4 linked regions of the Pelodiscus sinensis genome follow. The protein of the gene in region 1 purifies or fractionates together with the protein of each later gene. This does not show direct contact. Links are inferred from orthologs where the notes say so. Each region holds a gene or a part of one and is shown on either strand. Other genes may lie near its edges. The genes, in order: U2AF2, TRA2B, PSMA4 and SF3B2.

The links.
Region 2: the proteins of U2AF2 (region 1) and TRA2B purify together in Homo sapiens (affinity purification with mass spectrometry; 4 studies listed by BioGRID and IntAct, counting the BioPlex papers as one, with this or other methods). This does not show direct contact. The link is inferred for Pelodiscus sinensis from reciprocal best matches to the Homo sapiens genes U2AF2 and TRA2B.
Region 3: the proteins of U2AF2 (region 1) and PSMA4 fractionate together in Homo sapiens (co-fractionation; 3 studies listed by BioGRID, with this or other methods). This does not show direct contact. The link is inferred for Pelodiscus sinensis from reciprocal best matches to the Homo sapiens genes U2AF2 and PSMA4.
Region 4: the proteins of U2AF2 (region 1) and SF3B2 purify together in Homo sapiens (affinity purification with mass spectrometry; 3 studies listed by BioGRID and IntAct, counting the BioPlex papers as one, with this or other methods). This does not show direct contact. The link is inferred for Pelodiscus sinensis from reciprocal best matches to the Homo sapiens genes U2AF2 and SF3B2.

The regions. Positions count from the first base shown.
Region 1 is NW_027465849.1:3,175,584-3,183,101, reverse strand, and holds the start of U2AF2 (splicing factor U2AF 65 kDa subunit), read left to right. Parts: upstream 1-4,495; 5' UTR 4,496-5,044; coding exon 5,045-5,093; intron 5,094-7,518. UniProt on the Homo sapiens protein: Plays a role in pre-mRNA splicing and 3'-end processing. By recruiting PRPF19 and the PRP19C/Prp19 complex/NTC/Nineteen complex to the RNA polymerase II C-terminal domain (CTD), and thereby pre-mRNA, may couple transcription to splicing.
Region 2 is NC_134720.1:3,414,412-3,422,339, forward strand, and holds the start of TRA2B (transformer-2 protein homolog beta), read left to right. Parts: upstream 1-4,912; 5' UTR 4,913-5,035; coding exon 5,036-5,071; intron 5,072-7,928. UniProt on the Homo sapiens protein: Sequence-specific RNA-binding protein which participates in the control of pre-mRNA splicing. Can either activate or suppress exon inclusion. Acts additively with RBMX to promote exon 7 inclusion of the survival motor neuron SMN2.
Region 3 is NC_134724.1:39,552,083-39,559,308, reverse strand, and holds the start of PSMA4 (proteasome subunit alpha type-4), read left to right. Parts: upstream 1-4,184; 5' UTR 4,185-4,320; intron 4,321-4,604; exon of another isoform or gene 4,605-4,782; intron 4,783-5,006; 5' UTR 5,007-5,023; coding exon 5,024-5,026; intron 5,027-5,545; coding exon 5,546-5,588; intron 5,589-6,281; coding exon 6,282-6,444; intron 6,445-7,226. UniProt on the Homo sapiens protein: Component of the 20S core proteasome complex involved in the proteolytic degradation of most intracellular proteins. This complex plays numerous essential roles within the cell by associating with different regulatory particles.
Region 4 is NC_134721.1:32,231,606-32,238,893, forward strand, and holds the start of SF3B2 (splicing factor 3B subunit 2), read right to left. Parts: upstream 3,071-7,288; 5' UTR 2,878-3,070; coding exon 2,763-2,877; intron 2,587-2,762; coding exon 2,540-2,586; intron 1,115-2,539; coding exon 1,037-1,114; intron 643-1,036; coding exon 391-642; intron 1-390. UniProt on the Homo sapiens protein: Component of the 17S U2 SnRNP complex of the spliceosome, a large ribonucleoprotein complex that removes introns from transcribed pre-mRNAs.

The sequences.
Region 1 (7,518 bases):
GTGGCCTGGTTAAATGGGTAGGGTGGGGCTGGCTGGACCAGACTCCAAGGAACACACCAGGCTCTCCTGCCCGTAGGGTTGGTCTGTCTGCACTGCGGGAACGGGCCACGGGGCCAGGAGGGGACCGGCCCCACAAGCACGGGAGGTGACACTGGAGAAAGCAGGTTGACCTTCTTTTAGGTCCAGGTCAGGCCTAAAAATTAGGCCTGAGCACAATTCTGTGGGGCAGAGGAGTGGGGTGGAGGGGGGTGGGGCTTTTCCTCATGAGGTGGTGTGGGCCCCATCTAGGCACATGCCGGGGACTGGCTGGCTCAGGGAATGAGGCCTGGAGCTGCTGGCTCGAATCATGACCCAGCTTGTCAATTTTACCCCTACAGTTCTGGAAAAGGTCTGACGCTGGGGGGGCGGGTGCTGTGCCGATTGGCCATACAGGCTGCTAGAAACTGTGCTGATTGGCCATCCTGGCTCGATCTCCAACTGGAGGGCGGGGTGTCTGGATCCTGGACCCAACCTGCCTGCCTGCCTTGCCTTCCTCACCTCCCCTGCCCTGAACTGCTCCCCTCAAATCCACGCCGCATACAGATCCCGCGTCACTTAGAGACCAAACCTGACCCCCCCCACCCCGCTCCTCCTCCTCTCCCCCCACACCCTGCTCCGTCACCTGCTAATGCCGCCCTCACCCCGTGCCCAGGGCAGTGTGGGTACTGACTCCATCTGCTCCCGCCTGGCACCGATGAAAGCACTAAATTGGGTGCCTCACCCTGCCCCCCTCGCAGGGTTTTCATTGAGTTCCTCCGTTCCCTGGTTTTTTTTGGGGGGGGGGGGCGATTTGTCCCTCCCCTGCACCGCGGCCCCGAGCTGCTGGCCCTGTATGTGTACGTGAGTGCAAGGGGCGCCAGGCCGGGACGCCCCTTTTAATTCCGTGTAACAAACTCTTCTCCACCGTGCCTGTTCTTTCATGCCCTCTCTATGTTTAAAAAAAAAAAAAAAAAAGAGAAAAGAAAAGAAAAAAAAAACTACAAAAATCAATTTATTAAGAGAATTTAAATTAAAAAAAAAAAGAAAATTTGGAATAAATCAAGGCCTGAGTCTCATTTACTTATCAAAAGTTTCCCTTGGGCCTAAAAACAGGCGCCTCTGGGGTGGGGTGCAGAGACTGTTTCGATGGAGACACTCGTGTGGAAATGCGACCAGCTCTGGGGTGGGTGCTCTATGGAGAAACCCCTCACCGAGTGCTGGAATGCAGCTGCCTCTGGAGTAGGGCATTGGGGGCTTTTTATACCATAACCTCTCACCTGGTATGAGTCAGACTCTCTGGGCCAGGAGCTATTTCGCGAGGGACCCCCTCCTCTGGGGCTGAGATGTGGTCTGATTGGGTGCAGGGGCTGTTCTTACAGGGCCCCACTGCCTGGTGCAGAGGGGGTCCACGGAAGTGATCTCGTGCTAAGCTGGCCCAGTACCGTGTGAGATGGGCACGTTGGGCTGATCTTCTGTCCCAGAGCGGTGCCGTCGGCCCACGCTCCCCAAATGGGGCTGGTGGAGCACGAGGGAGAGAGCCCCTCCCCCCCGAAAGGGGCTGGAGTGAAGATGGACAGAGGCCCGCGTACACACAGGGCCCATCTTGGCCCAGACCTGGGATACCCTGTCCCCTGAACCTTTCTGTGCCATGGCCCGGAATCCCTTTAGACCTCAGGAGCCCCCCACTCAAGCCAGAGGAGTTCTCCAGCCACCTTGGACTGGCCCCCTAGAATAAGAGGCTGGTATTTCAGATAGGGTGGCTATATCCCTTTAGCATGGAAGGGTGGGGTCGTGCTGAAAGAACAGAACTCCGGGAGAGCAGTGGGGTCTAGTGGTTACAGGCGGGCCTGGGAGCCAGGACTCTGGGGTTCTCTCCCTGGCTCTGGGAGGACAGTGGGGTCTAGTGGTTACAGGCGGGCCTGGGAGCCAGGACTCTGGGGTTCTGTCCCTGGCTCTGGGAGGACAGTGGGGTCTAGTGGTTACAGGCAGGCCTGGGAGCCAGGACTCTGGGGTTCTGTCCCTGGCTCTGGGAGGACAGTGGGGTCTAGTGGTTACAGGCGGGCCTGGGAGCCAGGACTCTGGGGTTCTCTCCCTGGCTCTGGGAGGATAGTGGGGTCTAGAGGTCCAAGCAGGCTGCTCTGAGAAAAGCCCTGGGAGGAGAGCCATGATTTTGGGACCTCAGGAATGATGATTATGGGCCCCTGCTGTTCCTCCTTACACTTGGGGCTGCCTCCTCCATGGATTCGGACAGTGCCTGGTACGAAGAGGCCCACAAAGACCTCCACTCCATGGCCCCTCCCCATCCGTCTCTGGGGGGCGCTTTGGAACGCTGCATCTCACCCCCGTGAACTCCAGGCATCCGTGGGCAGCTGTTTAGTGACTCTGACCGGAAAAGGGACACGGTCCCTGGCCTATGGTCCCTACAACCTGGATGCTGAGCTCCGTTAGCCAGCTCTTTAAATGCAAAAGGGAGGCTGGCTGTGGGGGTCTGGATTTAGGGTGTGGGTGTCTAGGGCCCCATCTGGGTAGGGGCTAGATGGGATTGGGGAGAAGTGACTCTGTTGGGTGGCCTATATAGGGGGCTGGGTAAGTGAGGGGCAGGGGGCCAGGCAAGGGATTATATTTAGTTGTGTGTGGGGGGGTGAGGTAGGGTTAGGGAAGGAGACAAAAGGCTCAACTTGAGGGTGGGTATTGGCTTGATGGGGGAGGGCAAGAGGATGGGATGGGGGGAAGGGTACCACTGGGGAGATGTGGCCTGCCTTGGGAGGCGAGGGGCTGGTGGGGGTAAATACACAGGTAAACCTGGCTCCACCCACCACATCAATGCTGAATCAATGCACAGACCTGCATCTTCCAAGCACAGAACCAGGCTGGAGGCGCAGATCAGATGTTTACATAGGAGTTGGGACACACCGTGGTGCCTCAGTTTCCCCACATTTGTCTCTTTCGACTGTAAGAACTTCAAGGGCAGCAACCAATGCAACACAGGCCTCCACCCTATGGAGACTATGGGGTGGCTAAAGGGAAGTTATGGGACTCAGATGAGGGAAGTTGTGGAATGTCTGGCTAGTGGGGGCTTCGGGGGTGACAGTGGGGGACCGTGGGTAGCTAAAGGCAAATTATGAGGCTGCTGTGAGGCACAGGGTGGATGTCTGGAGTAGTGGGGACTACTGGGCTCAGTAGGGCTATGGAATGTCTGGGACAGTAAGGCTCAATAGGGGGCTAGCAGGAAGTTATGGGGCAAAGGCTGCCAGCCCACCAGGATTATCCTGGAGTTCCCAAAAATGGAACATTATCAGAAGATGAAACCTCCAGGGATGAGCAACCCTTTATAGGGTGGGGGGGGGGGGGGGTCTATGAGGGTGGGAGTAATTGAGGAATTATGCTTTGCTCTGTGGGGCTATAGGGGACTGGGAGGGGCTCAGTGAGGTGGTTATGGAGACAGGGTGACCATGGGGCTGGGAGGGGCTCAGTGAGGAGGTTATGGGGCATGATGCCCATGGGGGCTGGGAGGGGCTTAGTGAGGGGGTTATGGGGGTAGGGTGACCGAGGGGCTCAGTGAGGGGGGCTATGGGGCAGGGTGACCATGGGGCTGGGAGGGGCTCTGTGACGGGGCTATGGGGGTAGGGTGACTGAGGGGCTCAGTGAGGGGGGCTATATAGGGCAGGGTGACCATGGGGGGGCTATGGGGCAGGGTGACCATGGGGCTGGGAGGGGCTCAGTGAGGGGGTTATGGGGGTAGGGTGACTGAGGGGCTCAGTGAGGGGGGCTATATAGGGCAGGGTGACCATGGGGGGGGCTATGGGGCAGGGTGGCTATGGGGCTGGGAGGGGCTCAGTGAGGGGGCTATGGGGGCAGGGTGACTGAGGGGCTCAGTGAGGGGGGCTATATAGGGCAGGGTGACCATGGGGGGGGCTAAGGGGCAGGGTGGCTATGGGGCTGGGAGGGGCTCAGTGAAGGGGCTATGGGGCAGGGTGACTATGGGGCTGGGAGGGGCTCAGTGAGGGGGCTATGGGGCAGGGTGACTATGGGGGGGGCTAAGGGGCAGGGTGACCATGGGGCTGGGAGGGGCTCAGTGGGGGGGGCTATGGGGCAGGGTGACTATGGGGCTGGGAGGGGCTCAGTGAGGGGGCTATGGGGCAGGGTAACCATGGGGCTGGGAGGGGCTCAGTGAGGGGGGCTATATAGGGCAGGGTGACCATGGGGCTGGGAGGGGCTCAGTGGGGGGGGCTATGGGGCAGGGTGACTATGGGGCTGGGAGGGGCTCAGTGAGGGGGCTATGGGGCAGGGTGACCATGGGGCTGGGAGGGGCTCAGTGTGGGGGGGGGGGGCTATGGGACAGGATGCCCATGGAGCTGGCAGGCCATCAATGGTGATGGGAACCTAGGAAGCATGGAGGGGGCGGGGCTCTAGGGCAGTTGTGGGGCTTATGGGAGTGGGAGGAGCTGCCCTTTGCCCCCATACGCCATTTCCGCCCCCTACCGGAAGTGGCCTCTTTCTGGCCCCTTTCCCTGCGACCGCGCGCGCTCTCCTCTCTCGCGGCCGGGAAGGCGGAAAGAGCCGAAGCCCCCTCCCCCCGTCTCCGGCCGCAGCCGAAGCAGCGTTGCGAAGAGGCGGGAGGGGAGGGCGGAGCCGAGGAGCAGGCGGAATCTTCCGAAGCCGCGGCCCGGGCGTGGGCGGAGTCTCCGCGCAGAAGGAGCCCGGAGAGTCCCCGAGCGCGGGGCGGAAGGAGCCGAGCGGCGGCGGAGATCCCCGAGCGCGGGGCGGAAGGAGCCGAGCGGCGGCGGAGATCCCCGAGCGCGGGGCGGAAGGAGCCGAGCGGCGGCGGAGATCCCCGAGCGCGGGGCGGAAGGGGCCGACTGTCGGCGGAGCTCCCCGAGTGCGGGGCGGAAGTAGCCGAGCGGTGGCGGAGATTGCCGAGCACGGGGCGGAAGGGGCCGAGCGGCGGCGGAGCTCCCCGAGCGCGGGGCGGAAGGGGCCGAGCGGGAGGCGCCGCGGCCTGTGCGGGAGCGAGGCGGGGGCCGCGATGTCCGACTTCGACGAGTTCGAGCGGCAGCTCAACGAGAACAAGCAAGGTGGGGGCGGGGCGCGGCCGGGCCGGGGCCCCCGGGGGGCCCCGTAGCGTGCGGGGGGGGGGGGCGCTTCCCGTCCGTCCCCGGGGCCCCCCCCGCCCCATAGCGCCCCCCCGGCCAGCCCCATGGATTCCCCCCGCCCCCTAGCGCCTCCTTGGCCAGCCCCATAGCGCCCCCCCGGGTTCCCTACTGCCCCATAGCGCTCCCTAGGGCTTCCCCCCGCCCCATAGCGCCCCCCCCAGGTTCCCTACTGCCCCATAGCGCTCCCTAGGGCTTCCCCCCGCCCCATAGCGCCCCCCCCCCAGATTCCCTACTGCCCCATAGCGCTCCCTAGGGCTTCCCCCCGCCCCATAGCGGCCGCCCCCAGGTTCCCTACTGCCCCATAGCGCTCCCTAGGGCTTCTCCCCCGCCCCGTAGCACCTCCCAGGCCAGCCCCATGGCCCCCCCCCCCCGGACTCTCTCGCCACAAAACGCTCCTCCCCGCCAGCCACATGGATACCCCGTGCCCCATAGCGCCCCCCCGGGCTTCCCCTCCCACCCCATAGCGCCCCCTGGCTAGCTCCCTAGCTCCCCCTGCACTACAGTGTGCTCTCTCAGGCTCCCTACCACACCATAGGGGCCCCCCCTCCACCCCACGTTTTTTCCCCCCACCTCCACAGATTCCCGCCCCCGTAAACCCCCTCCCCCCTCTGATCCAGTCCTATGGATTCTTCTACCCCATAGTTTCAAGGTAGTCCCATGGGCTTCCCATCTAGGTCTTCCGCTAGCCCCATGGACCACCCCCCCTATACTTCATCTCCTAGACCCTCCCCAGCCCAGAGACCCTTAGCTAGCCCCATAGATTCCCTGCCCTTTCGGCCTCCCAGCCATCCCCAGAGATCTCCTGGTCCATGGCTCCCCCCCACTCCCTATAGTCCCCTGCTTCTATAGATTCCTAGCAAGCCTCATTTCTCCCCTACCCCATAGACCCTGCATGTTTTACCCTTTTTGAGCCTCTCCCCCATGCTATAAAAACTAGCCAGCCACTTCTGCCCCCATAAGTGGTTTTTTGCATCTAAAAGCCAGGGTTGGAGTTAGGGCAGTTGCCTGCAGCCCCATGGCACTGGGCCCACATGAAACTATATTGTCCCGGGGGCAGGGCTCAGGTCCCTGGATTTCATTCTCATGCAGCAGGGCTTCATACTAGGCCCTAGCTAGTCTAACATTGGCCCAGCTTGCCCCCTGAAATTTGCTTGTACCACCCCATTGAGAATCACTGCAGGACCCCCACCCCCTGTTCCTCAGCCTGCCCCATAGCTCTTATTCCCCTAGTCCCAATAGCCATGCCTTTAGCATCCCTTCTCCTAAGCACCCCCTTTCGCACCCTGCTCCATAGTCCCCTTCCAGCTCGTGGCCCCCAACCTTTGAGTGCCTCTTACGCCCCCCCATAGCCTTCCAGCTGGCTACCCTTTACCTCCCCACAGCTTCTCCATCCTCCGCTTCCCCTTTCCTCTGCCAGTGCCTGTCTGCCTGCCCCATAGCAGTGCCAGACCCCATGCTCCTGCTCCACCTGGCCCCCAGCAGCACCCCAACCTGTGCTGGTGCCCAGAGCTCCCTGCCCGCTTCTTGAGCACCTGCTCCCATTTGTCACCACCTCCCAGCCTGCCCCTGATTGCTCCCAACCCGCCAGCTTTCCCTGTGCCCCACTCAATCCCCACAGCCCCCTCCCTGCTGCCCCTTTGCCGGCAACCCCCCCCTCCTCCCCCAGGCAGCCCCTGCTTCTCCTGCCTAACCTTCTCCACCCTGTATCCATCCCCTTGGGCAGAGACGCTGAATTTTGATTATTAATTGTAGCAGGCTAGGGAGAGGTTGAAACATGTGGGTGTGCTCCCCCCCCCCCCCCACTAGGTGGCGGGGTGGGAGAGAGGGGCAGGAACACCTTCCCCCACTCCCGGCAGCCTCAGGCCCCTCCGTGGGGAGAGAGGGAAATCCAAGTTATCCCCTTGTGGCCGTCGTCCCCTCCTGGCAAATAAGCCCCAAGGGGTGAGGGGAGGGGCAGGTATCACCCTACCATGGGGCACCCCAGGGCTTAATGTCTGGATGCTGGGGAGCGGCAGCCAGAGGCAAGTGTTTGGAGCCAGGTGTGAGTCTCTTGCCCGTAATAGAATTGGGGGTGGATGCCCTGCTTGGAGCTTTCAGAGGGAAAAACCCCTCTGAGGATCCAGACCCGGGACCTGCATAGGTTTAAAATCCCTTGTGTGGCTGGGAGATTGATCCTCTCTGTTGCCTGTGGAAGGAAGCACATGGGACATCCTGCTGTGGTGTAAAGCGGAGTCTGTTCCAGCACCATTGCTGTCCGCCGAGCCCCTATGCAAACAGCAGAAGATTGTGTTTTGGGAGCTAGCTTACGTCAAAGTGCAGCGTGGCTCCAGAGCCAGTAGAGCCGGGA
Region 2 (7,928 bases), on another chromosome or scaffold:
ATTCCTAACATTCTATTTACTTTTTTTACTGCTGCTGCTGCACACTGAGTACATGTTTTCAGAGAACTATCCACAATGATTCCAAGACCTCTCATGAGTAGTTGTAGCTAAATTAGTCCCCATTATATTGTGTGTATAGTTGGGATTATTTTTTTCTAATGTGCATTACTCTAAATTTCATTTGCCATAGTTGCCCAGTCACTTAGTTTGGTGAGATCTTTGTGAAGCTCTTCACAGTCTGCTTTGGTCTTAACTACCTTGAGCAATTTGGTATCATCTGCAAATTTTGCCACCTACCCTTTGTTTCCTGTCTTTTAACCAGTTACCAATCTATGAGAGGACCTTCCCTCTTATCCCATGACAACTTACTTTACTTAAGAACCTTTGGTGAAGGACCTGTCAAAGGCTTTCTGGAAATCTAAGTATACTGTATCCATTGGATCCCCCTTGTCCACATGTTTGTTGACCCCCTCAAAGAACTCAAAGTTCTGCAATCAGTCCCTTTGTATCTGTTAGGACACGATCCAAGAATTCCCCCATGTTATTTGCAATACTATTTGAATTAGAAAATTGTCATTTATAATGTGTAGACATTCCAAGGATGGTTTAGTACTGGCAGCGTGAAACCTCCCACATATGTCACTCAGACTGAAGTTCCCCATAAATATAAAGCATTGCCTTCACATTATAGACAGGGCTGTGTGAAGCACACTGGTTCTCAACCAGGGTCTGGGGGCCTCAAGCAAGTTTTAGGGGGTCCTTCAAGTAGGGTCAGTGTTATGCACTGAGGATCAGGGCAGAAAGCCACAGTCCCAATACATGGGGCTGAAGCCTGGAGCCCTAACACCTATGGCCGAAGCCAAAGCCTGAGCAACTTAGCTTCATGATGTCCTCTATTGTATCAGGCCTCAGGCAACTGCCTTGCTTGCTGTCCTGTAATGCCAGCCCTGGTTTTTATATGGAGAAAACTAGTTGTTGTAGCACAAGTGGGGCATGGACTTTTCATAGCAAATTTGGAGGGGAGGGGAAGGGGGGCAGAAAAAAATAAAGTTGAGGACTCCAGGTATAGCAGGCACCAGCTTGTGCTTAGTCTGTTGGGACTTTTATTCATAAGCATGCCTAGGGAGGTTGTGGAATCTCCATCACTGGAGATATTTAAGAGCAGGGTAGACAGACATCTACCAGGGATGATCAAGACAGTGCTTGGTCCTGCCGTAAGGGCAGGGGACTGGCCTTGATGACCTCTCGAGGTCCATTCCCATTCTGTTGTACTATGATTCTATGATCATCTTCTTCCACGTTCTTAGTGACTTGGAAACAGGTACTGCCTCTTGTGACATAGAATGCCGTTGCCCATCTCTGTTTGTCCATTTGACCCTTCCTAAATCGGTTATAACCATTGAGTCTAATTTTACAGCTGTGCAACTACATCCAATTTGGGTTCCTAAAAATGCAATTCTAGTTTCTCCTGTTTGGAACCCAGGCTGCTGTATTACCATATAGGCAATACAATAATTTATTCTCTTCATGACCTTTGGTTCTTTGATTAATTTAATTCTCAACATCTCAATTTTGTGCTGCGTGCTCATATCTTCTCTCTTTTTACCTACTCCTTTTATATTAGTTTAACCCCCTCCTGACTAACCGAATAGCAAAAGGTGAGATGCAGAACTTTTCTGCCAGCATTGCTAGTATGTTTCGAGGAGGCATTCTATGTCAATAGAAAATGCCTTTTGCTGCTTTAAGTTGCATCTACATCAAGGAGCTCTGAAGGTACAGCGTTGTCAGCTAGGGAGTGTGTTATTTCACACCCCTGACCAAAATAGCTATACTGACAAAACTTTATAGTGTAAATCAGGCCTCAGTAAACACTATTTTGATCTCTGACAAAATTAAGGCTGATTTTCCCTTTCCTGACTGATTAAAGCAGGTATTCGCTGTATGTAACACGAGAATATGACTAGTAAAAGCAATACTTTTCTGGTGACGGCATTTAAAATGCCAGTTATTTTAAACAGCATCCTTTGTGAAATTGTCAGGTACACTAAGAATTTGCACCAATACATCAGTCCATGCTATATGCTCCATTAAGCTCTTGCTACTGGCACCCAGGTTGAAACTGAGTCATTGTTTTTTCTTGGGTAGTGAGATAATCTTGGGGAAGAGGCAGATTAGACTGACACCTCAGTCCATGTGAGAGGGTAGAAGGGATTAAATTACCATACCAACAAGAACTTGTTTCTTGTCCTCTGATCTCCAGCCATGCGCAATTTTGAAATGTGGAAAAAATGTCCAGGATTTTTCTTTTGTTTTTTGCAGATCAGAAAAAGTCACCCCACAGAGCCATTTAGGCTCGTCGGTGCCCAAGGCAAGCAGGCCTACAACCTCCCCATCATTATTTTGCCTCTCTGGCTTTGGGCCCTGGGTAGCTGCCCCACCCATCCTGCCTGGGTTACACCCTGCATCTTTGCATCCACAGCTGCCGGATCACGCCCTGGCCTGGCCCATCAGGTAAACAGAGCTGCCAAACACCTCTCAGCCAGGCCGCCTGCCCCACGGCAGGGCCTCATAGCCCAGCCAGGAGGGGTCACAGGGCCAGGTCCCAGCTCCCCACCCTGGAGAGAGAGAAAGGGCGGCGGGGAGGGCATGTGCTGTGTCAGCCTGACAGGGACACATGGCACTGCCCCCCAGCAGGCCCACCCATATATCCTGGCCAGGATTTCCCATATACCCCTCCCACTACAGGCACCTCCCAACTACCCCTCCCAGTGCCCCCAAAATGCCCCTCTCTGGGCACACCCAGCAGCCCCTCCGCATTGCCCCTGGGGAACTGGACACATGGGAACCCTAAGGGCTGGACTCCCCCTTAGTCCCGGGGAACAAAGAACAGGACTATGTAGCACTTTAAAGATTAACAAGATAACCTCCCTGATAACACCATCCTTGCTACCATGGATGTAGAAGCTCTATACACCAACATCCCACATGAAGATGGATTACAAGCGATTAGAAACACTATCCCAGAGGACACCACTGCCAACCTGATAGCAGACCTATGTAACTTTGTTCTCACCCACAATTATTTCCAATTTGAGGACAGCTTATACCTCCAGATCAGTGGCACAGCCTTGAGTACCCGCATGGCCCCACAGTACGCTAACATCTTTATGGTTTCCTCAGATCCTGTCCCCTTTTACCCCTTCTCTACTTACGCTACATCGATGACATCTTTATGATCTGGACGCATGGCCAAGAAACACTGGAGACATTCCACAGAGATTTTAACAACCTACACCCCACCATCAATCTCAGCCTGGACCATTCTACATGAGAGATCCATTTCCTGGATACCACAGTACAAATCACCAATGGTAAATTAGACACCACTCTCTACAGAAAACCCACTGACTCATACAGTTACCTTTATGCCTCCAGCTCCCATCCAGAACACACCATATGATCCATCGTCTATAGCCAAGCCCTTCGATACAATTGCATCTGCTCTAATCCCATTGACAGAGACCAGAAACTTCAGGATCTCTACCAAGCATTTATAAACTTCAATTACCCACCTGGAGAAATAAAAAAACAAATTGAAAGAGCCAGACGAATACCCAGAAACCATCTACTTCAAGACAGATCCAAGAAAACCAACAATAGAACACCACTTGTTATCACCTATAGCCCCCAACTTAAACCCGTCGAACACATTATCAATAAACTACAACCTATACTAGAACAGGATACTACACTTCGAGAGGCTCTGGGAGACAGACCCATAGTCTCCTACAGAAAACCACCTAACCTCAGGATGATTCTTACCAACAATCACAGGACATACCACACTAGTACCAACCCTGGAACTTTTCTTTGCATCAAACCCCGTTGCCAGCTTTGTCCACATATTTACTCTGCTGACACTATTATTGGACCTCATCAATTCAATTATAAGATCAAGAACACATATTCCTGCTCATCCAGAAATATAATTTATGTCATCATGTGCCGACAGTGTCCGCCTGCTATGTACATTGGACAAACGTCTCAGTCGCTTCGCCAAAGAATCAATGCCCACAAAACGGATATCAGACAGTATCATAAAGAAAAAACAGTGATAGAAATGTAGCTGTGTTAGTCTGGGGTAGCTGAAGCAAAATGCAGGACAATGTAGCACTTTAAAGACTAACAAGATGGTTTATTAGATGATGAGCTTTCGTGGGCCAGACCCACTTCCTCAGATCAAATAGTGGAAGAAAATAGTCACAACCATATATACCAAAGGATACAATTTAAAAAATGAACACCTATGAAAAGGAAAAACAGTTTCTTGCCATTTCAGCCAGAAAGGGCATTGTCTCAACGACTTGATTACCTGCATACTGCTTCAAAGGCATTTTAACGCCAGACTTCAAAGAGAAACCTCTGAACTGTCAGTCATGCTTAAATTTGACACTTTACGCTGGGGTCTGAACAAAGATGCTAATTACCTTACCCATTACAAAGATAGCTTCCCCAGTGATCACCTCTAACATCATCAGCTCACAGACATTTACCTCCCCCCATCCCTCCTCTGTTCTGAAATTTGATTTGTCCTTTTTATATGTGTTCACTTTTTTTGATTGTACCCTTTGGTGTATATGGCCGTGCCACTTTTCTTCCACTATTTGATCTGCGGAAGTGGGTCTGGCCCACGAAAGCTCATCCCCTACTAACCCCTCTTTACAGCGCTGCATGGTCCTGGCTTTTGTTCCAGCTACACCAGGCTCACAGGGCTACATCTCTAGTATCAGTCCCGGGGGAAGGGGACAGGTGGGGGCGGGGCCAGACTCCCCCCTGAGGCGGGGGCGGGCGGGGCGGGGCTAGGCTCATCCAATCACCGAGGGAGTTCCAGCCCACCGGATGCGTCGCTCGCGGCCGGCTCCCACAGGGGCGGGGCTGGCCAAGGGCGCGCGTCACTTCCGTTCCTGGCAGCGGGCACAGGCGCCGGACGGCAGTGGCGGTTGGCGCGACGGTTGCTGACGGGCTGCGCGGGACAATGAGCGACAGCGGGGAGCAGAACTACGGCGAGCGGGTAATACACGGAGCCTGCGTGCGCAGCCGGCCGGGCCCGCACAGCGCCAGCGCGGCCCGGCCGGGGCGGGCCCGGCCTGCGCCCACCGGGGCAGGCGCGGGCCTGGGCTCGCGGGCGGGGCCGGCGCGGGGGCCGGCGGAGCCTCCGCGAGCAGCGCGCGGGGGGCCGGGGCGATCGAGCTGGCGGGGGTTGGCGCGGGAAAATGGCGCCGGGCCGCTAATGGGGGGAGGCGGGGGCGCTCTAGCCGCTCGGCTGCCTGCTCCATGGTGAGTCCTCCCGGCGCCATCTTGGGCTGGGGACCCGCCAAAGGGACAAAATGGCCGGGCGCGCGTGTGCTGCCGCTCCCGGGAAGCGCGGCCACGAGCCGGCCCGCCCCGCCTCCCGCACTTGGGCTGGCCCGGCCCGGCCCTGAGGGGGGGGCGGCCGCCCCGCAGGCCCCTGGGGCTGGGCTTGCGGCTTCCGCCTCCCCGCGGCTGTCCCCGTGCTCCGCGGAGCCAGCCCCAGCCTGGTGCCTGAGCTCGCGGGGAGAGGGGCGGCGTGTGGGGAGGGCCGGGCGCGGACACCGAGTCGAGGAGCTGCCGGGACGCTCGGCGCTGGCTGCAGCGACACGTGTTAACGGGAGCGCGGACTCCGACTCGGGGCGGAGCTTTCACGGTGTCTGTCCGGCCCCAGCCGCGAGCATTGCTCTCCTTGACCCCCCAATGCGAGCTCAGCAGGGTCCCGGGTGCCTAGGGTGGCTGTGTCTTCGCTTGTGGCCTGTCTCCTCGAAGCTGGGAGCGCGCGGTGCTTCAGACACCAATCCTGTAGACTTGTGCTTGGTGCAGCTATGGCCGATTGATCAGTGGTTGGGAAACCTCTGCGGGGACCACAACAGTGTCCAGTCGTTCTTCCTGGTCCTGCTGCAAAACTTGATACTTGTGTCCTTTGATAATAGTGTTCATGATTACTTTGCGCAAGTAATCCACCTCTGAATGTTTAATTAATTACCAAAAATTGTAATTGCCTGGGTGAGTTAAATCTTCAGACTTTTAACTTTGATTCTTAATTACTTGTAATTTGTCTAAAAAAAAATCTTAAATTTGTCCCTTGAAACAGCTACAATTTTAGTCCTCACACACACACACTTTGGCCTCTTGAGCCATGTTTCACAGTAACTTTAAAAGTGTGTCTGGACAGTACTATCTGACCTGAAATTGCAATCTGACCTGAAGTTGGGTTCTGCGCACTGTGATTATTGGGGCATTATTATCCTTCATGTTCACGAGGGATGCACAATTAGTTGTGAAAGCCTAGTTGTAGTATTGCAGTTATCGCACTGTGATTATTGGGGCAGTATTATCCTTCATGTTCACGAGGGATGCACAATTAGCTGTGAAAGCCTAGTTGTAGTACTGCAGTTACGATACAGTACAAAGCATCTTCAGAAACAAGCAGTATTTACTGCAAAAATGTTCTTACGCAAACAAATGGAAAGTAATCAGAAATGGAGAGATGAATTATTTAGATAGCTGCCAAAAAAAAAAGACTCATCAATGCAATCCACATAGATAAACTAGTAATTCAAACCATGCAGAATTTGAATGCCTGAGACTGATGTAGCTGTTTATATTTCTACATATTGGTTGGTCATAGGGATGTTAAAATGTTTAGCTGGTTAAATGCTAGTGATAAACTAGTTAATAGTTTAACTAGGGCCTGCCAGAGCTGCTCCGGCCCACTGGCCGGCCACTGCTGGAGTTCACCTGCAAGGGCCAGTTTACCAGTAAGCCTTATGTTCCTGGTTAACTGTTTAATAGCATAGTTGGTAACCTGTTACGGAGATTTTGTGTTTCCTTTTATTTTACAGCAAAATTAAGCTTTCAATGGAAATCAATATGTAAGATGTTAGTATGAAATCATAAATTGTCTCTATACTCATCTTTTCAGTAGCACGTATAGAATTTCATAGTTTGTGCAGATTTACCAGTATTGGACAGTAGTACTGGACTTTTAAGAGTATAGCTACAGATTATTGCAGGTAAGAGCATTAAGGAAGTTGTGGCAAACTTCCAACCGATCCCTGGGCTTGACTTGTGTTTGGACCCTCCAGCCCTGCATGCACCTGCTTCTGTGTGAACACAGTTGCAGTATAGACCCAAAGGGGTTACCTTTGACTAGGGATGTAAGTGACTAGTCAAGTCACTACTCAGCTAGTTGCTCCCGTCTTCCTTGCTGCCTCTATTAAAGGCAACCAGTGGAGGAGCAGAAGCCAGTGCTGGGAGGAGCTAACCCCTCTGCAGGTCTGCAGTTTCCCCCCTTATCGACTAATCAAGCAGTCAATGGAAATCTGACTACTCAATTAGTTGATTAAGCATAATTTAACATCCTTACCTTTGACCCCAGGCCCAAAGAAAGATTTACATTGCAGTGTAGATATAGCCTAAATCAGGGGTGGGGAGCCTCAGGCCCAGGGGCCGGATGTGGCCCCCAGCTTGCCTGGATCCAGCCCCTGAGGCTCAGCCTTGGGGAACCCATGCAAGTGCTCCAGCCTCCCACTAGGCTCTAGTGTGCAGGAGGAATGTGGGGAGTTTCTTTCTTCTTAGTCGGGGTCTTCTCACTTTGCTCCCCCCCCCCCCCCCCCGACTCATTTTTTATGGGTCAGTGGCCCACATCCCAAAAAAAGTTCCCCACCCCTGGCCTAAATGATCAACAATTGAGGGCTTGGTTCCCTTTTAAGTGGCATGGTACTTGGAAGATGCTAGACATTATCAGATGTTTTTCTGAAAGACATTTTAGGTTAGTGTTTTTCCAGTCTTTTCATGTCTACATCTTGTACTTAGACCAGCATGTTTCTGAAAGAAAAAAACATACTTACCAT
Region 3 (7,226 bases), on another chromosome or scaffold:
GGTGTCCTATGACTCCCAAACCACCAGGCACAGCCATGCTCACACTCTGCCCCCCAGAACGGCTGCTGTAGGCGTTCTTGGGGCAGAGTGTTGCTGCCTTGAGCACCTGCCCTCTAGGGTTGCCAGGTGTCCGGTATGCTCAGCATGCTGCCCTGTCTCCTCCCCTTCCCATGCAGGCCGGGCCTCAGCAGAGGGGGCAGGGTTGCAGGTGGGGTTGGGATCCTGCCTCCCCTACCCCAGCTGCACCTACCGTCTATGCACCTACCGCCTATGGATCTAGTTTTTGTCCATCTTTGTCTGACACAGGAAGTATATTTTCAAATAAATTTTCCATGTTTAATTTTGGCACAATACACAAATACAAAAATGTTTCTTTTAATCTTTGCCAGAGCATGCACATTTATAGCCAGCCGTGTGTATTCAGCTGCATCTCCCCACACCTTGCTCAGTCTTGCAGCTAAGCTTCTCCCAGGACTCTCCTAGCAGCTGTGCAGGAGGAGGAGTGTGACAACAGCAGAGGACTGATGTCAGTGTGTCCTCCTTCCCATTCCCCATCTCTGCAAAGCAGGGGTCGCAGAGAGCTGCTCCAATCTGAGGTATGAATGGTGACTGAGATGAGTGTTTCTCAAAGAGACAGTGAACTGTTTCTAAGATTTCTCCAGCAGCTAGCTCGCTCTCCTACACTCTCTGTATCACACACCACATCTAGTGTGTTATACACCCAGTCTGTCTGCCACCCACTCTGTCACACACTGTCTCTCTGACTTACATGTAGTCACTATGCACACAAGTACTCTCCCAGTCTCTGTGCCACAGTCACACTTAGTCTGTATCACATATACACACACACTCTCTCTCTCTAGCCCCAGCACCGTCCCTTTTGGCTGACACCCCACTCCTTCCGGGAGCCTGGACTAGGGATGTTAAATATCGGTTAATTTATTAGTCGAGTAGCCTCATGAATTCTTATCAGTTGACTATTCTATAGTCCCCAGGGGTGAGGCCAGCAGCCTATGCACTCGAGCCCCATTCCTGAGGAGTCCCCTGGAACTCTGCAATGCTGCCTCTGTATCAGAGGCAGCAGTATGGGGTGCCAGGCGGGAGCTGGTACGTGAGGTGAGCCAATTAAAAAACCTGATAGAGACAACAGCACGGGGTGGCAGCAGCCCATGTGGGGCGGCGGGGTGTCTGAACTCCCAGACCTGGTGCAAGCCGGAACTGACCTGGGCTGTCTGCCCGTCTTGCTCCTAATACACTTTAAATGCACAGCCACAGCAGCGGGAGGTCCTAGACCTATCGTAAGCCAGGATTGAGCCAGGCTGCTGGCCAGCCTACTAAAAAATTTGCTGGTAGGGGAGGGAAAGGCATGTAGTCTACAGCATTAACCGATATCAGTTAATCAATTACAGTATTACATCTGTAGTCTAGACCAATCCCAGACAACTTCCCCCTGCAAAAATTATTGCCAACTCCCAGACTGGGACATCATCCTTACCCATCCTGGCTAAGCCATTGATGGACCTGTCCTCCATGAACTTATCTAGTTCTTTTCTGAGCCCTAGTAGGGTGCATCTACACTGCACCCATACTAAAAATAAGCTATGCAATTTTAGCTACGCAAATTGCACAGCTTATTTTGAATGTGTTTTGAAATACATCGCTCTTCCAAAGTGTCCCTTAATCCTTGTGAAACGAGGTTTACAGGGACATCAGAAGAGTAAGCCTGATTATTTTTAAAGCTATTTCAAAATAACAGGCTTGTTTAAAAGATACGGAATAGCTATTTTGGGATACCAGAAGTGTCCTAAAATAGCGCCGCAGTGTAGATGTACCCGTATAGTCCTGGACTTCATAACATCTTCAGAGCATGCAGTTCTATAGGCTGACTATGCATTGTATGAAAAAATACTTCCTTTTATTTGTTTTAAACCTTCTACTATGGCTTGTGTTATGAAAAGGAGTAAATAACACTTCCTTAGTCACTTTTACTATACTCATCATGATTTTATGCCTCTATCATAGTCTCCCTTATTCATCTCTTTTCCAAGCTGACAAATCTATTTTATTAATCTGCCATGCCCCATATATTTGTTGTTGTCCTTTTCTTAATTTTTCCAATTTTAATATATTGTTTTTGAGCTGGGGCAATCACATCTACATGCAGTACACAAAATGTAGGCATACCATGGATTTATATAGGGGCAAAATTATATTTTGTCATGTTATTATCCCTTTCCTAGTGATTCCCAACATTGTTTGCTTTTCTGACTTTTGCTGCACATTGAGTAGATGTTTCCAAAAAATAATCCACAACTTCAAGATCTTTTTCTTAAGTACCATAAAATCTCGAGTATAATGCGTACTTTCCCCCCCGGTGTTTTAGGGTCAAAGCCTGGGTGTGCATTATACACAAGAGCTATTTTTTTTAAAGTTTTAAACTTCTCCTTCCCTCTGCACAGAAACTTTCCTGTTGCAGCACAGTGCAGGGTTGCAGCCTCACCAGGCTCCCGGACAAGGTGAGGAGCCAGCTGCTCCTTCAGGCTGCGCCCAGGGGCCCCCACGGCAGGCATGAGCTCAGCGCGGTGCAAGCTCAGCTGGGCAGGGGGACCCTGCAGCAGTCATGAGCTCAGTGCGGGCAGACGGCCCCGCGGCAGGCAAAGTGAGGAGCCAGTGGCACTGCTAGGCTGCATTGCATTGGCTCGCTGCCTGCCCTGTCTCAGCATGGGCAGCTGGGAAGGGGGCCCTGCAGCAGGCGTTAGCTCAGCTGGGCAGGGGGCCCCGCAGCAAGTGCAAGCCCCTTCCTTCCTATATATACCATAAAATCATGAGTATAATGGGGGTGCACATTATAGATAAGAGTTTAGTTTATTCAAGAATTCTGATGTTTAAAAGGGAGGTGCGCATTATACTCGAGATTTTACGGTAGTAACAGCTAATTTATACCAGGAGTGTAGCCACTGTTGTGCCTGAATGGGCCATGGTCCACCCTGCAGCCCTCCAGGGGTTTCCTCATATGGCCCAATACTGGTCCTCCTCTACCAACCCACCTGGCATGCCAGCCAGGGAGTGGAGCCAGGGCTTATTTTTCTCCACCTGGAGCTCCTGCTTGGGAGTGGGGCCGAGGCACCAGGCTTACCCCATTTTACCCACTGCTCTAGCCTGGGAACCAGGCCAGGACTTAACCCACTCTGCTGCTGCTCTAGCCCAGGAGCCAGGCTAGGGCACCAAGGTTCACCCTGCTCCACCAGGCGATCTAGCTGGGGAGTGGGGACTCACCACCAGGGCTTAGGCCCCCCACCACCATTGCCCTCCCATTTTAAGTTGGGCCCACTCAAATTGGCCCTTCTGGCTATGCCACCTCCCCGCTTGTGTGTAGCTGGGATTGTTTTCCAGGGCACATTTTGCATTTATCACCATTTTATTTCATTTGACATTTTGTTGCCCAGTCACCCAGGCTGTGTCTACACTGGGTCACTTATTCCGGAAAATCAGCCGCTTTTCCGGAATAAGCTGCGAGCTGTCTACACTGGCCCTTGAATTTCCAGAAAAGCAACGATGCTCTACTGTACAAAATCAGCCGCTATTCCAGAAAAACTATTCTGCTCCCGCTCGGGCATAAGTCCTTATTCCGGAACACTGTTCCGGAAAAGGGCCAGTGTAGACAGCCCAGTAGTCTTTTCCGGAAAAAAGCCCCGATCGCAAAAATGGCGATCGGGGCTCTTTTCCGGAAAAGCGCGTCTACATTGGCCACAGACGCTTTTCCGGAAAAAGAGCTTTTCCGGAAAAGCAGCCTGCCAATGTAGCCGCTCCTTTTCCGGAAAAACTGAAAAGGGAATAGTATTCCGTTTTAAGCATTTCCGGAAATTCATGCCAGCGTAGACACAGCCCCAATGTTGGGAGATCCTTGTGTAGCTCCTCGCCCTACTCGCTTGAGTGTCGCATGCTAATGTAACCCCTCACTTTCCAGATCATGTATGGACGCGCTGACTAGGCTCAGGCCCAGGACAGAGCCCTGCGAGACTCCCCTCTTCACCCCTCTGATTACTGAGAAGGGCACTAGGCCGCCGCGCCAGGCCACGCCCTGCTGTAGTGAGACAAGGCGCAGAGGGCGGAGGCCGCGGAAGGGCTCAGGGCTCAGAGCAGACGAGTCCTGCCAGGCCCTGTCTCCCCGGGCAGCGCGCCCCACCCCCAGCAGCGCCTAGTTGAGCCGGGACTCGCGCGTGCGCGGCGGCCATTTTGGGACGCGTCGAGGGGCCGGCTCAGTGGCCTGTGGCAAGACAAGTCTCTTCCCGGCGGCCCCCCAGCGCACCCCGCTCGGCGGTAAGTGGGGAGACGCCGCCTGAGGGGCGCGGCTGGGGTCGAGGACAGTAAGAGCCCCCAGTGTGCAGCGGGAGGCGGGGAGGCCTTGTCGGCGGGAGGCGGGGGGATGACGCTGCGGAAGCCGCTGGTGAACGGCTCAGTCTGGCGGGGCCTGCTTGGCCCGGCGGACTCCATAGCCCCTGAGCCTCTCTCGGGCTGTGGCTCCCGCGCGAGAGGGCTAGGCAGGGTCGGGCTGGCCTCCACCCCGGGAAGGCGGGCGGGGGGGGACTGAATTCCCAGTCGTGCAGGGGATGGCGTCTTGCCTGTCCCAAGTTTTCTCTGGGAATAGGAATGTTTCTGGGGAAACGAGGGGAAGAAACTTTCCCCCGCCTCGCCCCTTGCTCCGCAGAGAAAGCACTGGGCTGCTGCGTTACAGCAGTGCATTGAAAGGGGCTTTTGGGGGCTCAGCTACCACCTGTCAAGGTGAGTCCCATGCTCCCCTTTAATTAGCTCATCACTGAAGTTCGTGACTCTTAAAAACTTAACTGCAACCTTTTAAAATCCTTCTATAAGAACAATAAAGAAACGGAGGTTCTTTTATCGAAGGCTTATTACTGTAGTAAATATTTTTGTACATCATTTTCCGTGTCTGATAAATGTTATGCTCTGAAAACGTATTTTAATTGACTGGTTTTATTTTTTTACAGTGTAACATACATGCAAAATGGTGAGTTACTATTAATGAAATATATTTTTGTTGTTTAGTACAGTAGTATCATTAAGCTCTCTGCAGCTAAATAACTGTAAATAACAGAAGTTATATTCTTGAAAACACTTATACACCTGCTTAACTTTGCCCACATTAATTTTACCTAAATTAAGCACATGCAGAAGTATTTACAGTATTGGTTGTACAACTTTTGTGAGAGGAAGACATTGATTGGGATAGGGATAAAAGGAAAAAGCATTGACATTAGTGTAAATTGAACGCTCGTCTCTTGATTAGCAATAAAGGGTAAGTTCATAATACTATATATATTTTTGTTAGTCTCCAAAGTGCCACAGGGCTTCTCAGTTTTTAAAAGGTAACTAGTACAATAATAGTAACAAAACTACCTGTACATCTCACAGATATTAAAGTCAAATCACTATGTTACTGCTATACATGGTTAACAGAATTACAGAATAATGTTTTTTCTGTCTAAAAGGAAAAACAGTTACTGGAGTTTTTCTCTCTTTGTTACAGTCTCGAAGATATGATTCCAGAACTACTATATTTTCTCCAGAAGGTATTGTTCTGTAAATGGGAACCTTCTTAACCTATCAACTTTTCTCCTCATATATACCTAAAATTTTATACAATAGGTGACACATGTAAAAGTCTAGAATGTTGACAATTTCCTTGAGTTTCATTTCTGACACTGAAATCAGATCTTCACATTAAATGATACCCAAAACAATAAGGGAGTTCCTGGCCATAGTGGAGATATGCTTTAATTTTAATATTAATACAAAATCCAAACCATTGTTTAGTAGTACAATCTTACATTTTGGAATGATACAAGGAAAAAGTGTCCTAGTTATTGGCACATGAGGATTGATAGCCCATACAATAGTATCCTACCTAGAGTAACATTTGATGCTATTTATTCATAGAAGTGTCTAAAACTCCATTTGAATCTTGAAAAATCCATAATTGTCTCCGTTTCTGCTTTTGTAATTTTTTTGTAGATAACTTGTATTAATTGTCTCTCTAAGGACAATGTTTGTTTCTATCTGAACCTGCCACTGTGTTCATTGAATTGCTTATCTGATTCTGACCTGTTAAGTGACAGTCTTAGACTTGTTCCTGTGATATGGGGACATCTGTGAGAGTTGGCTGAGTTACGCTTAGTATGTTATATGAGATACTCAACACTTTGTAGACTTGGTCCTTTTCAGAGTTAAATGGTTGAATTTAACAATTGAAACCTCTTTTTTAGGTCGCTTATATCAAGTTGAATATGCTATGGAAGCAATTGGCCATGCAGGCACTTGTCTGGGAATTTTAGCAAATGATGGTGTGTTGTTAGCAGCAGAACGGCGCAATATCCACAAGCTTCTAGATGAAGTATTTTTTTCAGAGAAGATATATAAACTTAATGAGTAAGTTGAGTTTGTCAGTAAAACATGTTCATTGCAGTTATAATTGCTAATAGGACATTTGATTACTTCTGTCGTTCAAATAGCATAAAACAGTTTTACTGGTTTTATATTTGTTACTTTGAGGACTTTTGATTTCTTGAGTGAAATTTTTTACCGGGATTAGCTTTAATAGCTCTTTAAGACAGTAATTCTCAAAGTGTGGTCTACTACATTGGCAGTCCAGCCCTGCTCCCTCCCTTCCGAATGGTTGGAGTTTCAGCACTGGCTTCCCACTGCAGGGTAAATGGGGAAGATTCCCCGGATCTGGCTCATGGGGGGAGGAAGTGGCTCCACATGCTGCCACTCCCTCTTCCTCCAGCTGAGGGAAAGTCACTATTTGAACCCAAGTGGGCAGATGCCAGCATAGGAAACCACTCTCCTGGAGACTTTCTTCGCTGTTCCCATTGGCCAGAATCACCCCCTAATCCCCAAACTCCACACACCCATTGCCCTCCCACTGAGACCCCACATCCCCACTCTGCTTCAGCGCTCCACCTCCCAGTCAGACCTCTCATCCTCAGTCTGCTCCTGCACCCTACCTCCCATCCTGACCCTGCACTCCTATCTTGCTCTTCAGCTGTCCCCCTGGGCACACTGAACCCCCTCATTTTTGGCTCCACGTCAAAGCCTGGGGGCGCCTACAAAATTACTAACTCTGGGACCCCAGCAGAGTTATTCTTGCCTGTGGGGAGCCCTGAACTTCTCTCCTCCTTCCCCAGTCACTGTGAGGCTGGAATGCGTGA
Region 4 (7,288 bases), on another chromosome or scaffold:
AACAATTTAGGACAAGATGTGAAGGATTCCACATACAACTAAAATCACACTTGGGAAGGGGGGATTCAAGGAGGCCAAATGGCAAAACAGTAGCTAAGATGCAACCAAGATGCCAGGATTAAAAAGCCCAGGCTCTTGACAAACAAAGTGGCTGTTCTACATAACCTAGCAGATATCCTGCAGCACAAGGCTAACCACACTGCAGCACTCACTGCCCCCCAGGTCTCTGCAGCACAGCACCTGCTCACACCACACAAGGGCACTTAGGTCAGCACTGAGACAGGGGAGAGCCAAAGACGGAACCTCTACAGCACAGCACCCCATAAGCCACCCTGGAGCCAGCACTGAAGGACAAAACCACTACCCCACTGCCTGCAGTACAGCTCTTACCTGTTTAGCCCTCTCTTCTTGCTGCATTAGCATGGCAGCCTGCTGCTGCGCCAGCTTCAGACGATCTTCCTCTGAGAGCGCTGAAGGGTCCACGCTCTGCATGCGGAGGGGGGGCCCCATACCTGGGGGAGGTGGAGGGGGCCCCACGGCCATAGGGAAGTTGAGGCTGATGCCAGGGGGAGGCGGTGGGGGTGGTGGAGGCTGCATGGGTGGCATCCCCATGGGGGGTGGGGGCAAGGGGATCCCAGAGAGCTATAAATGAGAGAAGAGATGACGAGGTAAAGACCAACACAGAGTGTGAAGTATCACAGATTATTTAAACCAAGATCCATCACCCAGCACCGAGTTGCTGCACCCGAATGCAAATGCAGCAGTACCAGCTCAAGAGCCACTCAGCACTGGTGAGCATGAGCAGGAAGCTCCTGGATCCCAGAAAGAGTGGGATGGATTTATGAAAGTAGAACAGTATTGCTCTTCAGGATGCTGGGGTTAGCAACAGCTCCTGGCAGGAAGTACCAACTGAAGTCAGTCACCCAGACAGCCTCCTCTCAACATAGGAAATCTACAGCAAGACAGCCAGTCCCTAGGGAAGCCCTTGTGGCTTAGCCAGGCCAAGATTCCTCCTCTCTATGACCCCTTCACTCACCTGTCCGGGTATTGGTGGCGGGGTGGGTTTGTCACCGTCATCTCCCCTGAGAGACGGCCTGCTCAGCACGATGCCAGTCTGTGGAGGGAGGACACAATAAATATAGCTGCAAAGCAAGTGAAAGTCTGTCCATTGGGGAGCTTCTCTTAGAGGCCTCACTGACATGCTCTGGGTCAGGAAAGGAAATCCAGGCCCTGGGGAGACCAACTCTCCATCACCACAAGGACAGACAATAAGGTGGAGCTCTCCAAGCAAGATGGAACCTGCAGATGCTGCACAAAGACCTTCACAACACAAAATACCACAACCAAGACAGAAATCCAGATGGGGATACTGATACCAAGAAGGCCCAGGGCCATGTGGCACAGAGATGGGGATAGAAATAAAACCACCCCCAGTAGTCCAAACATCAGCAGCCCATCTCCCACCAGTGTGCAGAACAGTTGTCCTGATTACCAGGGCTCGACTATCTATGTAATCTACTCGCCATGGGCGAGTAGATTACATCCCGGAAGAGCTGGATTCGGGCGATCTGCAGCTCGGTGAGCCCTGCTGATTACTATCAACATCCACAGACATACTGGGGTGGAGAGCAGAGGCCACAACAGAGCACTTGCCATTATCTCTCTGCTGTTGGGCGGGAGAGTGGGCTAGTCAAACCCTGCTGTACCATGTGACAGGAAGGAATATAGTAGCCCAGATGGAGCCTTAAGGACCCTCACTAGGACAGAGCACCCTCGTGGCATCTGAACAGTGATGTCTATGTCACTGACGTCCTCCACCTCACACAGCTATAGCACCCACACGTTCCAGTCTTATGAGGAAATTCACAATTTCCTTTAAGTCATTAGCACCCATGATGGTTCAATCAGGGGATGGTCACAACCCAGCTTACAGTTGAAGCTGAGTGGTACCTCTCTGGCCCTTGTTAACACACTATCTGAACACCTTCCACTTGTTAATTTGTTTATTCTTACAGGATGGCAGCACTATTAGCCCAATGATACAAATGCCAAACTAAGGGCCAAAGACTCTGGGTGATTCACCTAAGGTCTCCCAGGGAGTCTGTAGCAGAGTAGGGACTAGAGCCCAGGTCTCCTGAGCCGCAGCTGATGCCCTAACCACTGCATCAGTCTTCACTACCTAATGCTGCTCATTTGCTCTAATGCCAGGGAATGCAGGCTGCTTGCCTCTTGGTTCCTAGTCAATGTCACTAATCACAAGGCTGTGGAGTGTGTTTACTGCTCACACTGTGCATGTGGCTTTGGGGCAGTGAAGGTGGAAGACCCCTCTACCATACCCACAGGTCGTGTGACACCACAGTGCACGCCAGGCAGTAAAGTCTCCCACTGCAGGTTGCCAGCCCTAGGTTCGGGGCTCCCTTTAGATCCCTTTCAGCTAGAGGAGAGGGGTGGGGGAGTTAGGGCTGGCGCTAATGGCCCGGCCAAGGGGAGGCCATGTCTGGTGGCAGAGCGGGTCTCCTCCCCCATGCGAGTAACTCACCTGCAGCGTGTAGGTCTGCAGCCTCTCCACCAGCTCCTCGCGGCTGCCTGGAGGATACAGATGAAGCGTCAGAGCCACCCTGAGCCACCACCAGCCGTTTGCCCCGCCCGCCCCTGCCCCCCGGCAGCGCCAAGCAACGCCCCCCCCCCCCCCGCAGCCCCCGGTATCTCCCGCCCCATTCCTAAGCACCGCCCTCGCCTGAGCGCCCCCCGCGGGGCTGCACCTTGAACCGGGGCCCCGATCTCCGCCAGCTTGGCCTGCAGCTCGGCGGGCGCCCAAGCCCCGTAGGCCGGCAGCGGCAGCTCCCCCTTCGGCGGCTCCGGGTGCTCGGTCGCCATCTTCCCGCCCGGTCGGACCCTGAACAGCCGCCGTAGGCGACGTCGTCATACGTCACCACGCGGCGGGCGGCCCGCCGCTAAACAGAAGAAGCGCTGCGTTCCGGCAATGTACGCCGCGGCGGCGCATCCAGCGTAACGAACGTCAACACGCACAGCCTCGCGCGCCGCCTTCTCGGTATCGTAGACCTTAGCGCCTCCGCAGCAAGCAGCATCAGCGCGCACGTGGCCAGTAAAAAGAAACGAGTTACCGCGCTGTCCTCTGGGAGTTGTAGTTCTAAGGCAAGGAGGCGCTGACCCCGCCCACCTCAAAGAGCTTTGCATGCTGGGAATTGTAGTTCTGAAGAGATGGAGTGGCCAGTGTGGGACTAGCCATTTTCCAGATGGTTTCAACAAAAATACCGGACACATTTTACATTACACCACACTCTACATTACATCTTCTTTAGAAAATACCAGACATTTATATTTTCTCATCTCATAGAATCATAGAATACTAGGACTGGAAGGGATCTCGAGAGTCATCGAGTCCAGTCCCCGACTACTGTCTAGACCAGTGGTCACCAACCAGTAGATCCGGATCTACTGGTAGATCTTGGAGCCTCGGACAGGGGATCCTGACTGGTTTGGGCAAGAAGCTATCAAGTGCCGGCACTTCAGCTGCCCTCCACCCCCACTGCTGCCCTTCTCCTGCCGTTTGTCTTGGAGCTGTCTCCTCAAGAGCCTCCTGCTTACTGGGCAGGGGAGGGAAAGGAGGATGCTTATGTCAGGGAGCCCCCTCTCCCACTCTGTGTCCTATCTCCAAGGGCATAGAGGGGGCACAACAAGTCTTGGGATGGAGTTTGCCGGCTGCTTTTGCTTGGAATGGAGTTTGCTGGCCGAGCAGGGTCAGGGCAGGGGTGAGCTTGCCTTATACCCACTGCACCACCACCCAGGAGCCACCTGAGGTAAGCAGGGCCCAGCTGGAGCCCACATCCTGAAACCCTGCCCCAGTCATGAACCCCCTCCTACACCTTAAGCCCCTGCCCTAGCCCGGAGCACTGCATCCAAATGCCCTGCCGGAGCCTGCACCTAGAACCCTTTCCAGCATCCCAACTGCCTGCCCCAAGCTCAGCTCAGAGCCCCTCTTACACTCCAAATCCCTTAATTCAAGTCCAGAGCCTACACCCCTACCCTCTGTCCCAGACTGGTGAAAGTGAGGGTGAAAGTGAGCGGGGAGGGCGGGGCCTCAGAGAAGGGGCACAAAGGAGGCGGGGCAAGGGTATTTGGGTGTGATGTAGATCTTGGATTGCACTTAAATTAAAAAAGTGATCTCGTGCTTAAAAAGGTTGGAGACCACTGGTCTAGACCATCCCTGATAGAATTTATCTATCCTACTCTTAAATATTTCCAGAGATGGAGATTCCACAACGACCCTAGGCAATTTATTCCAGTGTTTCACCACCCTGACAGTTAGGAAGTTTTTCTAATGTCCAACCTAAACCTCCCTTGCTGCAGTTTAAGCCCATTGCTTCTTGTTCTATTCTCAGAGGCCAGGAAGAACAATTTTTCTCCTTCCTCCTTGTGACACCCTTTTAGATATCTGAAAACTGCTATCATGTCCCCCCTCAGTCTTCATCTTTCCAAACTAAACAAGCCCAATTCTTTCAGTCTTCCTTCATAGGTCATGTTCTCTGGACCTTTAATCATTCTTGTTGCTCTTCTCTGGACCTTCTCCAATTTCTCCACATCTTTCCTGAAATGTGGTGCCCAGAACTGGACACAATACTCCAACTGAGGCCTAATCAGTGAAGAGTAGAGAGGAAGAATGACTTCTCATGTCTTGCTCACAACACACCTGTTAATGCATCCTAGAATCATGTTTGCTTTTTTTGCAACAGCGTCACACTCTTGACACATATTTAGCTTGTGGTCCACTATAACCCCTAGATCTCTTTCTGCCGTATTCCTTCCTAGACAGTCACTTCCCATTCTATATGTGTGAAACTGATTGTTCCTTCCTAAGTGGAGCACTTTGTATTTGTCCTTATTTAACTTCATCCTGTTTACCCGAGACCATTTCTCCAATTTGTCCAGATCATTTTGGATGATGACCCTATCCTCCAAAGCAGTTGCAGCCCCTCCCAGCTTGGTATCATCTGCAATCTTAATAAGCATACTTTCTATGCCAATATCTAAATCGTCGATGAAGATATTGAACAGAACCGGTCCCAAAACAGACCTCTGCGGAACCCCACTTGTTATAGCTTTCAAGCAGGATTGTGAACTGTTAATAACTACTCTCTGAGAATGGTGATCCAGCCAGTTATGCACCCACCTTATAGTAGCCCCATCTAAGTTGTATTTGCCTAGTTTATTGATAAGAATATAATGCGAGACCGTATCAAATGCCTTGCTGAAGTCTAGGTATACTTGTCCAGCACTTCTCTCTTATCCACAAGATTTATTATCCTATCAAAGAAAGCTATCAGATTGGTTTGACATGATTTGTTCTTTACAAATCCATGCTGGCTGTTCCATATCACCTTATTATCTTCTAGATATTTGCAGATGAATTCCTTACTTACTTGCTGCATTATCTTTCCTGGCACAGAAGTTAAGCTGACTGGTCTATAGTTTCCCGGGTTGTTCTCATTTCCCTTTCATAGATGGGCACTATATTTGCCCTTTTCCAGTCTTCTGGAATCTCTCCCATCTTCCATGATTTTCCAAATTTTATATTTTCTCAATTTGTTTATTGAATAGAAAGCTCATATACTGGACTGTCCGGTTCAAAACCGGATACCTGGCAATCCTATGTGGGACTGCTCTGGGAGTGAGAGGGAAGCCTGTGTATTAAGAGCTGTGTAGCATCCGTGGGCGAGTAAACTGCTAAGCACCCAAAATGTTAACCCTTAACAGTTGATGCTTACTGGCTCCAGTTAACCAGTGGGGACTGCAACAGCTTCCTGCCTGCTGTGGGCAGGGGCTGCTCCACCCCAATAGGGCCCACACAGATAGGGGTAGCTCCAGCCCAGCTAGAGCAGCTCTTGTCTGCGGCAGGCCCAGGTGCATCACAGGCAGGGGCTGCTCCTGCCTGCAGCAGGGGCTGCACGGGCTCAGCCCAGCCCCCTTTAACTGGCTAAACATCGCATTTAACCAGTTAACCAATTAATCAGGATTTTACATCCCTATAAACTGCTAGATCTAAATACTGCCTAGTGTGTTCAGGGTTAAGCTTTAGCTTGTGCCCTTTTCTTTTGTTTTGTTTTGTTTTCTTTTCTTTCCTTTGATAACTAGCTCTGATCTCTCGTGCCTACCACTTATGATCACTGAAAATCTACCTTACTGTAGTTAATAAACCTACAACAGTGCGGTTTGGCTGAACAAGGCTACCGGAGCAAGATGGTACAGATGGTGTTCGAAGCTGGAAAGTTGTGGGGAATTGGCTGGAACCTGTCTATTGTTGGTTCCTGAGTGACTGACAGGAGCATTCATGTAACTCAGCGTGGGTATGGTCCTGTCCATGGAAGTCTGTGTACATGCAGTACCTACCAGAGGTTTGTGGCTTGCAAACGGCATCACAGTATAAGAGAGAGCCCAGGTTGATAGGGCAGAGGGCTCAGCAACATCACTGTTCAGGTTGCCCCTTGGGAACACTGTCACACCTACACACTAGTGGGGTGCCTTGGAAGCAACCAAGGAGGATATGTTTCACAAGGTGCTCCAATCCTCAGAGGAATAAAACAAGAAAGGATGTGGATGCATTGGAGAGGGTCCAGCGGAGGGCGACCAAAATGATTAGGGGGCTGGAGTGCATGACCTATAAGGAGTGACAGAGGGATTTGGGTTTGTATAGTCTGCAGAAGAGAAGAGTGAGGGGGGATTTGATAGCAACCTTCAACTGCCTGAAGGGAGGTTCCAAAGAGGCTGGAGAAAGGCTGTTCACAGTAGTGACGGATGGCAGAACCAGGAGCAATGGTCTCAAGTTACAGTAGGAGAGGTCTAAGTTGGATATTAGGAAAAACTATTTCACTAGGAGGGTGGTGAAGCACTGGAATGGGTTACCTAGGGAGGTGGTGGAATCTCCATCCCTAGAGGTTTTTAAAACAAAAGACAGAATTATGTAGCACTTTAAAGACTAACAAGATGGGCCCATGAAAGCTCATCACCTAATAAACCATCTTGTTAGTCTTTAAAGTGCTACATAGTTCTGTCTTTTGTTTCAGCTACGCCAGACTAACATGGCTGCATCTCTATCACTATTCTAGAGGTTTTTAAGTCTCTGCTTGACAAATCCCTGGCTGTATTGATTTAGTTGGGATTGGTCCTGCCTTGGGCAGGGGGCTGGACTTGATGATCTCCTGAGGTCTCTTCCAGCTCTATGAGTCTATGATTCTAAGAACACAGGGTGTGGAGAGAGACTTTAAAAGAA